Linked DNA regions of Oryctolagus cuniculus. The protein of the gene in region 1 purifies or fractionates together with the protein of each later gene. This does not show direct contact. Links are inferred from orthologs where the notes say so. Each region holds a gene or a part of one and is shown on either strand. Other genes may lie near its edges.

Region 1 (3,912 bases):
ACTTAGTATCGAGTATCTTAAGTAATTTTTCTAGGTTCCTTCGTGTAAAGGAGGTTCTTTAATATTACTCTGCCCCTTCCTTTCTTTTCCATTCAGAGCACTCATCATAATTCAACATTTTATATCCCAGCAGCCATCATTTGCCTGTTTTGCTCAATTCAGATACATCGCCAAACAGGTGCTAAAATACTTAAAACTTAGAACTAAAGTAATTACAGTTTTGATTACAACTGAAGATCTGAAGTAATCCATCATTAGTATTTCCGCATTAGAATGAGGATTCATTCTTTCACTATACTTCAAATATCCAACCAAGCAAAAAATAAAACATTCTATTTCAACATCTTCAGACCTTGAAGTCCAATAGAACTCTTGCCTCTTTTAGCCCCTGCTCCTGTAAAAACGTTGTTCTGAATATATTTTAGGGAGTTTAGAATAAAAGCCTGAAGCTCATATGGGCAAGTAGAAAAACAAGTGAAAGCATTTTGATTCAATTAAGATTTGGGGGGGGTCATCATGAAAGGAAAAGCAGTTATGTGCCATTTTACTATTAGCTTGCCAATTAATGAGCCTAATATAAAAAGAAGGTACCATTCAACAGATAAAATTCACAAAATTTTCAAATTAGTATGGTGAAACTGTCAATTTAATAAATAGAAATTTAAAAACAATGTTGGCTTGAAAAGAGCATCTATTAAGTCAAGGTTTGATAACCTCAGATATCCAAGTCTACCTACTGATTAGTTCCATCTTTCCTCCAAAGGACCAATATTCTCAGAACTATAGTTTAGATTTAGGCCAATTACTTGAATTTAGGTAACTTCAAACATGCTTTAGTCACATGAGTCCCTAACAATCACCGAAAACCTCATTTAACCTCTCTCCACTTTATTCTATACACTAGCTTTTCCCTTGTCCAATCAAAGGTACTATGTATTATTTAAATTGACAAGAAAATAGGACTCAATACTGGCTTCAAAAGATGTTTTGATGCTATCTCTTTTTCAAAGATGACAAAATCCTGCAGCTCTCCTGAAACCGGGTAAGCAGTTTAAGTTGAGAATATAAAGGATAGCTGTGTTCAGAACTGATTAGACCAGGGGTAGTCTCACAGAGGGGCTCTGGGCATCTTTCCTAATACTCCGAAAGCCTAGCTCTATGAGAAAGGACCTCAGTGCCACCGCCCTCTACTGCAATCCCAAGATGTTTAAGGGAGTGGGGCACACTGACAAGGCGGCAGCGTACAACTAGGCTCACTCATTAACACCTCATTCCACCCCACACCCCTCCATCTTAAAAAGAAACCAGATCGTCAAGCATCTTGTTTGAGAAACTTCAATCAAGGAGCCAGTTTGCTACATTACAGGCCCTTTCTTTGCATCTCAGAACCGCTGAGGACCAACCTTCCCTAAAGAAAGCCCTGCACAAGACACTCATCTAAACGCCAACTGTACCTGGGATACGTAAACCAATCTTTTGTTCTAACAGCTCACGTGAGCGCTTTATAAGCGGGACTTACTCGAAAACCCAGCGGTGGGGACCTGCCCCACCAGCCTCCGACTAACATTCACACTTTCCTCCCGTACCAATAAAAAGATTATGAGCAAAAAAAAAAAAAAAAAAACCAAGGGGAGGGAGGGATGCCCCGGGCCAGCTTATTCACTCACTGTGGCTTGGCACATCCCACCCCTCCACAACTTGAGTAAGGTTAGGCAAGGACGAGGGTCTCCCGCCGGGCCCAGGAGGCGGCCACGCAGCCCATCACCACGTGTCGAGCGGAGCCGCGGGGGCTTCCCCTCCCAGCGCGGCCGCCGCCTCCAGTGGGCGGAGAACCCCGGAGCCTCGAGGCCGCCCCCGCCCCCTCCCCGCCTCGGGGACTCGGCCCTGCGCAGCCCCTCCCTCCCGTCGGAATTCGCAGCCTCCGCCGCTCTTTCCATCCCCCCCCCCCAGCGGCCTCCCGCCGGGCAGTAGTTGTGAGGGGGAAGCAGGGGCGGCGAGGCGGTGGCGCGGACACTGCCGCGCGGGCCCGACCCGCATTCCGGGCGCCTCCCGTCCCTCGCGGCGTGGCCTGCGAGCCCTCGGGACACCCGGGCGCGCCGCGGCCTCTCTTCCCCCTCCGCGCGGAGAAGCCGGTAGGGCTCGAGGAACCTCACCACCCCCCCACACACACAGGCCGCGCCGACCCCCGCGTCCCCTCGGCCGCCCCCAGGCCGGTCCCAGGGTCCCTCTCAGGTTACGCGGTCGAGACTCCGCGAGCGGCTCCGGCCTCACAGCGCGACCCGGAGGGGCCCCAAGCAGCCAGCGGCCTCCGCCCGCGGTTCCCCGTCCCTACGTCCCTGTGTCCCTTCCCTCCGCGCAGGCCGCCCGGCCCGGCTCCTCATTCCCCCTGCCCTTCCAGGCCCCCATCCGTTACCGGCGGCTAGTAGGGAGAGCCAGGCGACCGGAGCTGCGCAGGCAGTGACTCAGGGCGGCAGCGGCGGCGGGAGGAGCGGGAGGCGGCGCCGCGAGCAGATGGCGCTAAAAAAGACCCGAGAGCCCGCCGCTCGCGCTCATATACAATTAGCGTCAGCACGTAGGGCCCGCTCCGCCGCCCTCCCCCTGGCCTCGCCGTCTCCTAGCAACGCGGGCTAGAGGCGGGCCCAGGCCGGGTTGCCAAGTAACAGAACCGTCCTTCTTCCCCGGCGACCTCCGTAAGCTCGCTGTGATCTCTTCCTGCCCTCGCTGCACCAGCGCCGCGGTTGGGCTCTTCGGTTCCCGCCAGTTACTGTCTTCCTCCCTTGATTACGCACGCACCCCGCCATCTCTTTTTCTCCCCGCTGCGCTGGAAGGGAAATCCCAACCCCATCAGTTACTGGGAAGGGCGCTGACCCACGAGCCTCCTCCGCAGCGCGCCTCGCCCTCGGCGTCGTGAGTGAGGATGGAGACCGAGCCACCCGGTTCTGGACTCGCCACACCCTGGACCTCGAGATCTCTAGCTTCCACATCCCTGTCCCAATTCCTGCAACTCCCAGGCCCCCGGTAACCATTTTCCCTCGCCGCCTGAGAACAACAGTGCTTTCCTCGTGACCCCCCCCCCCCACCTTGGCGGCATCTTCTGCAGATTTGTCTTCAGGGGACCCCATATACTATGCCTCCGTCCCTTTACATGACAAACAGTGCCTCTTTGCTGCTTTCGTCCTTTTGACTGGTGAAAAAGGCATGTTTACGCGTACTCAGGATGCTTTTCAATGCTTTTGTCTTTCTGACAAAGCAAATCCTGTGCAAATCCTCAGGCTTTGTGAAACCTCAGCAATTTTTCAATTGATGCTGGGTTGTCTAAAATTCACTGTTAGGATGGTCATCCTCAAAGTGTGAGCTGAATGTCCCCAGAGCCTTTCAAGGGGAAGAGTGAAACCACTGGCACTGTAATACTGAGACATTGTTTGCCTTTGGGGCTCTTACTCTCCCACAAGTGTGCCTTTGCGTTTTCCAGAGGCTACAAGACATGTGACTGGGAAACAGACTGAAAGATAGGAGCAGACAGGAGAACCCAGTCATCTGTTGTTGAAGCAGACATAAAGACATTTGCAAGCATAAAACTGGGCCACTCCACTCGGATTTTGAGGTGGGGGGAGGAGGAAGTAGTTATTGTTCATATAAAAAGTTATTTCTGGGCCGATCTGTGGCACAGCAAGCTGAGCTGCAATCTGCAATGTAGGTTCTAGTCCCAGCTGCTTCACTTCCAACCCAGCTCCCTGCTAAGGTGCCTGGAAAAGCAGCAGAAGATGAGGCAGGTACCTGGGCCCCTGCCACCCACATGGGAGAGCACCATGATGGAGTTCCTGGCCCCTGGTTCCCAGCTGTGTCTGCCGTTCGGGGAGTGAACCAATGGGTGGAAGGTATCTCTGTGTCACTCTTTCACATAAATAAATA
Region 2 (3,912 bases), on another chromosome or scaffold:
TTTTTATATATACATAATATCACATTAAAGTCTTACTCTTTCTGGAAGGAAATCAAAATCTGATTATACATTGAGGAAACCAAAACAGAATAGTTTATAGTTTATTGAATTTCCTATTTCAGAAGTAAGGGGCATGTTCTCCTCTGATAAGGAACCATACATGTAGGCATATAATGATCATTTTCTCCCCTTTTGTAATGGGTGAGGAGGAGGAGGACTGGATTTCCAGTTGGTATCTATCTTTTCTGTAGAAATAATAATAGCTAAAAATTACTCAGCATTATGTGTCAGACATTGTTCGGTGGGTTTTATGTGTAGTAAGTTATTTGTTCTTCGTTCTTGCCTCTGAGGGAAAGAGTCTTACTTTCATAGATGAGGAAAAGGTAGTCAGAATACAATTTTTTTTGAAAATACTGTTTTATTAATACCACAGTGGTAAACAACTTTGTTTCTTTATAGATCTCTTGCTCACACATAATTCAAAACCCACAAAGAAGCTAAGTCTTTATGTGAAATGCCTTCTTCCTAAAAGTCCTTCCTGTATGCCAGTCTATCCTCAAGCAGTAAAATTCAATTATGCACCATTTTATATTCAATATTTCACATTTACATAGCAAAATAATGAAGGCACAGCTAATACAAGCAAACTTAAACCCTTTATAATTCTGAGCTGGGGTAAGGGCACACATTTAGATTGGTTCTTCAAGTATATATTTTTTCCAAACGTTAGCTTCATTGAGGAGTTCTAAAAGCTACTTGACAGAAAGCCTTCACAAAGATCAAACTATGTAACACTGGATGGATACACATGCTTTACAGGATATGCTACGTTCTACATCTCTTCGAGTAAATTAACACTTCTGAAATACTAGGGGACGTGATTCAAATACTTAAACGTCGGGGGGTATCTTTAAATCTTCATAAACAAGACACTACCCAGAAAAGACATCAACATGTCGGAACTGAGGAGAACAAATGTCAACGACATTATACAGGTTGGACACTCTCCCTTCTGGGAACACACCTCTCTCAGTATTCAGAACTCAAGACGTGGTCAGGATCCCACCGCCGCCTCACTCTCCCCTGCAGTGCAAAGCTGCTGAGGTCTGGCTTACGGAAACCAGGGCTCGAAGGTGGTGTTTTCTGGGCTCTGCCTTCAGCACTGGGCAGTGTCGGGACCAGAAATGCAAGGATGAAGCGCTGAGTCGGGGCTCCGGCTGGGCTGGGTGCTGTGCAGTGCGCGCGGTACAAAGCCCGCGCTGAGGAGCCGCTTCCAGCTCCAGACGCCTCTCCTGCCTCAGCCGCGACCCTCGCAGCGGAGAGAAGCCAAGCCAAGCAAAATCGACGGAAGCTGAAGTCGGCTTTCTTGGATACCTTGCGAGATATTTACTGTGGTCCCAATTGGAGTCGGATTGGAAACGGGCTGGCCAGGATCTGATTGCTGCCTTTTGAATCTATTTTAGAAATGTGAGGATAAATTCACATTGTATTTTGGTCCAAAAAACTGAGCCTTTTTAAAAGTCCACCAATACAGTATTAAAAGTCATCATAATAACACGAATGGGGTTGGTCTGTCGCCGGCTCTCCGCGTCTCGGCACCGCCGTCCCCTTACTTCTCGGCGTCCTCAGGCACCTCGGCGTGGGGGTGGGAGTCGCGTGCGGCCGCCGCCGCCCCCTCCACCTCCACCTCCTCCTGCTCACCCTCCTCCGCATCTTCGTACTCCTCCTCGTCCTCCTCCTCCCCTTCCAGGGTCCAGGCACAGCTCTTCACCTCGCTCCTGAGCTCTTGGACCTTGGCGAGGAGGGGCTTACAGATCTCGCTATACTTCCTTTCCAGTGCATGAAATTCCTTCTGGTACTTAGCTTCTATCTTACTGCACTGTTCCTGTAGCTTTTTAAGGGCCAGCACCCGGCATTTCACGGAGTTTGGCAGGCTCTCCATAAAGTCGCTCTTTGGCTTTGGCGTGTTCTCCACAGGGGTTTGGGTCTCCTGAGCAGCAGTGCTGTCAGAATCGCCGGGCGCACCGTCGGGGTCGGCGCCATCACCTTCGGACATTATTTTGTTCGCTGCTGCCGCCAGGCTCGGCTCCGCAGGGCTGTGGTCGGCCATGTTCAAAGTGTTGCCGCAGAGGTCTATGCTGGCTCCCACAGTGGCCGCGCAACCCATCTGCTTGGCAGAGGTGGCGGTGAAGAAGCCCGCGCTGGGTTAAGTCAGCCGCGGCCCCGCCCCTCCCCCCCCTCCCCCCACGCAGGCACACACCTGACTGGCTGCGGGCTGTCAGGTAACATCCGTGAGCTCCTACTGGGGTAGATCGCGCTGACCGCCCGCCTGTCCGCCCGCATTGCCGCCACCCTCGCCTGCACCTCCCTCAGCCAACCCCACCATCCGCCCCTGCGGAGTGGGGCACCCTGTGGGTGCCCGCGGCACTTGTCCCACTGCTGGACACCTGGCCGGTTAACCCCTAGTTTCCGTGCATTCCCACTCTCATCAAAACCTTGGGCACACGTGAGCTTCACAAATTTCCTGGAAAATGGAATTTCAAATGGGCACTTTTCCATGAACTTTTTGAAGCCCCCAGCACGCTGTGTCTTTTATTGGCTGTTTTTCACATCTCGCTGTAGTAAGCCTTGCCTGGGTGATAGGTCATTTCTACCTGTGGACTCCGCCTTTCTCCCCTCTCTGATTCCTCCACATTCATTTCCAGAGAGTGGAGACGCGGGAAACCTGGCTCCTTTCTGACCCTTTGGGAATCTGGTGTGCAAGAGTGTATACTAGGCAGTGTGCATTTCCAAGCCTCGTCGTGCCCATTAGTCTACCTGACTGCCTCCGTTGGCCATCTCAGACCTAGAGGCAAATGTCCTAGTGACACCAAGTGTCTCTTGGTGGGACCGGCCCTGCAAGCAGTTTTGGAGCCATCTGAGTAGGAAATCTCAGAGTTCTGAGTCCTGGTGTACATTCTAGAAGGTGTTTAGCCCTTGGGGAGGTCTGTAGCATGGGTCTTAGGACAAGGTCAGTTGAAGCTCGTGTTTAGTGTCTTAGGGACACACAGGCATGTGTCTGTACACACAGCCATTGTCCTGGAGGAACACTGCAGTTCTGTGACTGCTCCATGTGTCTTGCTTGTAACTTGGCTCTGAAATCATGTAAACAGGGAATAGTTCTGTAGTAGCAGAACTTATCTTGTTTATTAAGTCAGTGTCAGGGCTTCTTGAATAAGAATTCATTTTTATTTATTTGTAGAGATTTGTATGTTGGTGTACACCCCAAGTGCCTACAAGAGCCAGGACAGGGCCAGGCCAAAGCCAGGAGCCTGAAACTCTGTCTTGGTCTCCCACGTGGGTGGCAGGATCCCAAGTAAGTTCTTGAGCCATCATTGCTGCCTCCCAGGATACACAACAGTGGGAACCTGGGTCAGAAACCAAAGTGGACTCTATTCCAGGCACTGGGGTACAGGATGTAGCCATTAACCATTGCACCAAATGCCTGGCTACGGAATGAAGAATTCCAGCACATGTGTTAGGTATGGCAGCAAATGGACTTTCCAGGGATCTGAGGAATACTTCCTCCTGTATTGGGATTTGCTGCAGCTTTACACGTGTGAATCTTTGCAAATAACTTTGCAACATACAGTTGGTGCTGTGTATCATTCTTGTGAATATTAGTGTGTAAATAACTTGGTGTTGACATGTAGCAGCAAGCTACATGAGTGTTTCACTTACAAAATGTAATATATAACTTGATGGGTATTTTTCAGTTTACAAAATGTTTTAGTATGCAGAGATAACCTACAGTAATCTTTTAAAACTGGACACCTTAGGTGCAAAAAGCCCAATATATTCCCATTACTTGGGCCCCTGCCACCCATGTTGGACACCAGGATGGAACTCCTTGCTACTGGCTTTGGCCTGACT

The links.
Region 2: the proteins of NAP1L1 (region 1) and NAP1L5 purify together in Homo sapiens (affinity purification with mass spectrometry; 3 studies listed by BioGRID and IntAct, counting the BioPlex papers as one, with this or other methods). This does not show direct contact. The link is inferred for Oryctolagus cuniculus from reciprocal best matches to the Homo sapiens genes NAP1L1 and NAP1L5.

Annotation. Positions count from the first base shown.
Region 1 is NC_091442.1:78,589,576-78,593,487, forward strand, and holds the start of NAP1L1 (nucleosome assembly protein 1-like 1), read right to left. Parts: upstream 2,920-3,912; 5' UTR 2,414-2,919; intron 1,791-2,413; exon of another isoform or gene 1,668-1,790; intron 1-1,667. UniProt on the Homo sapiens protein: Histone chaperone that plays a role in the nuclear import of H2A-H2B and nucleosome assembly.
Region 2 is NC_091439.1:76,946,217-76,950,128, reverse strand, and holds NAP1L5 (nucleosome assembly protein 1-like 5), read right to left. Parts: upstream 2,222-3,912; 5' UTR 2,168-2,221; coding exon 1,610-2,167; 3' UTR 405-1,609; downstream 1-404.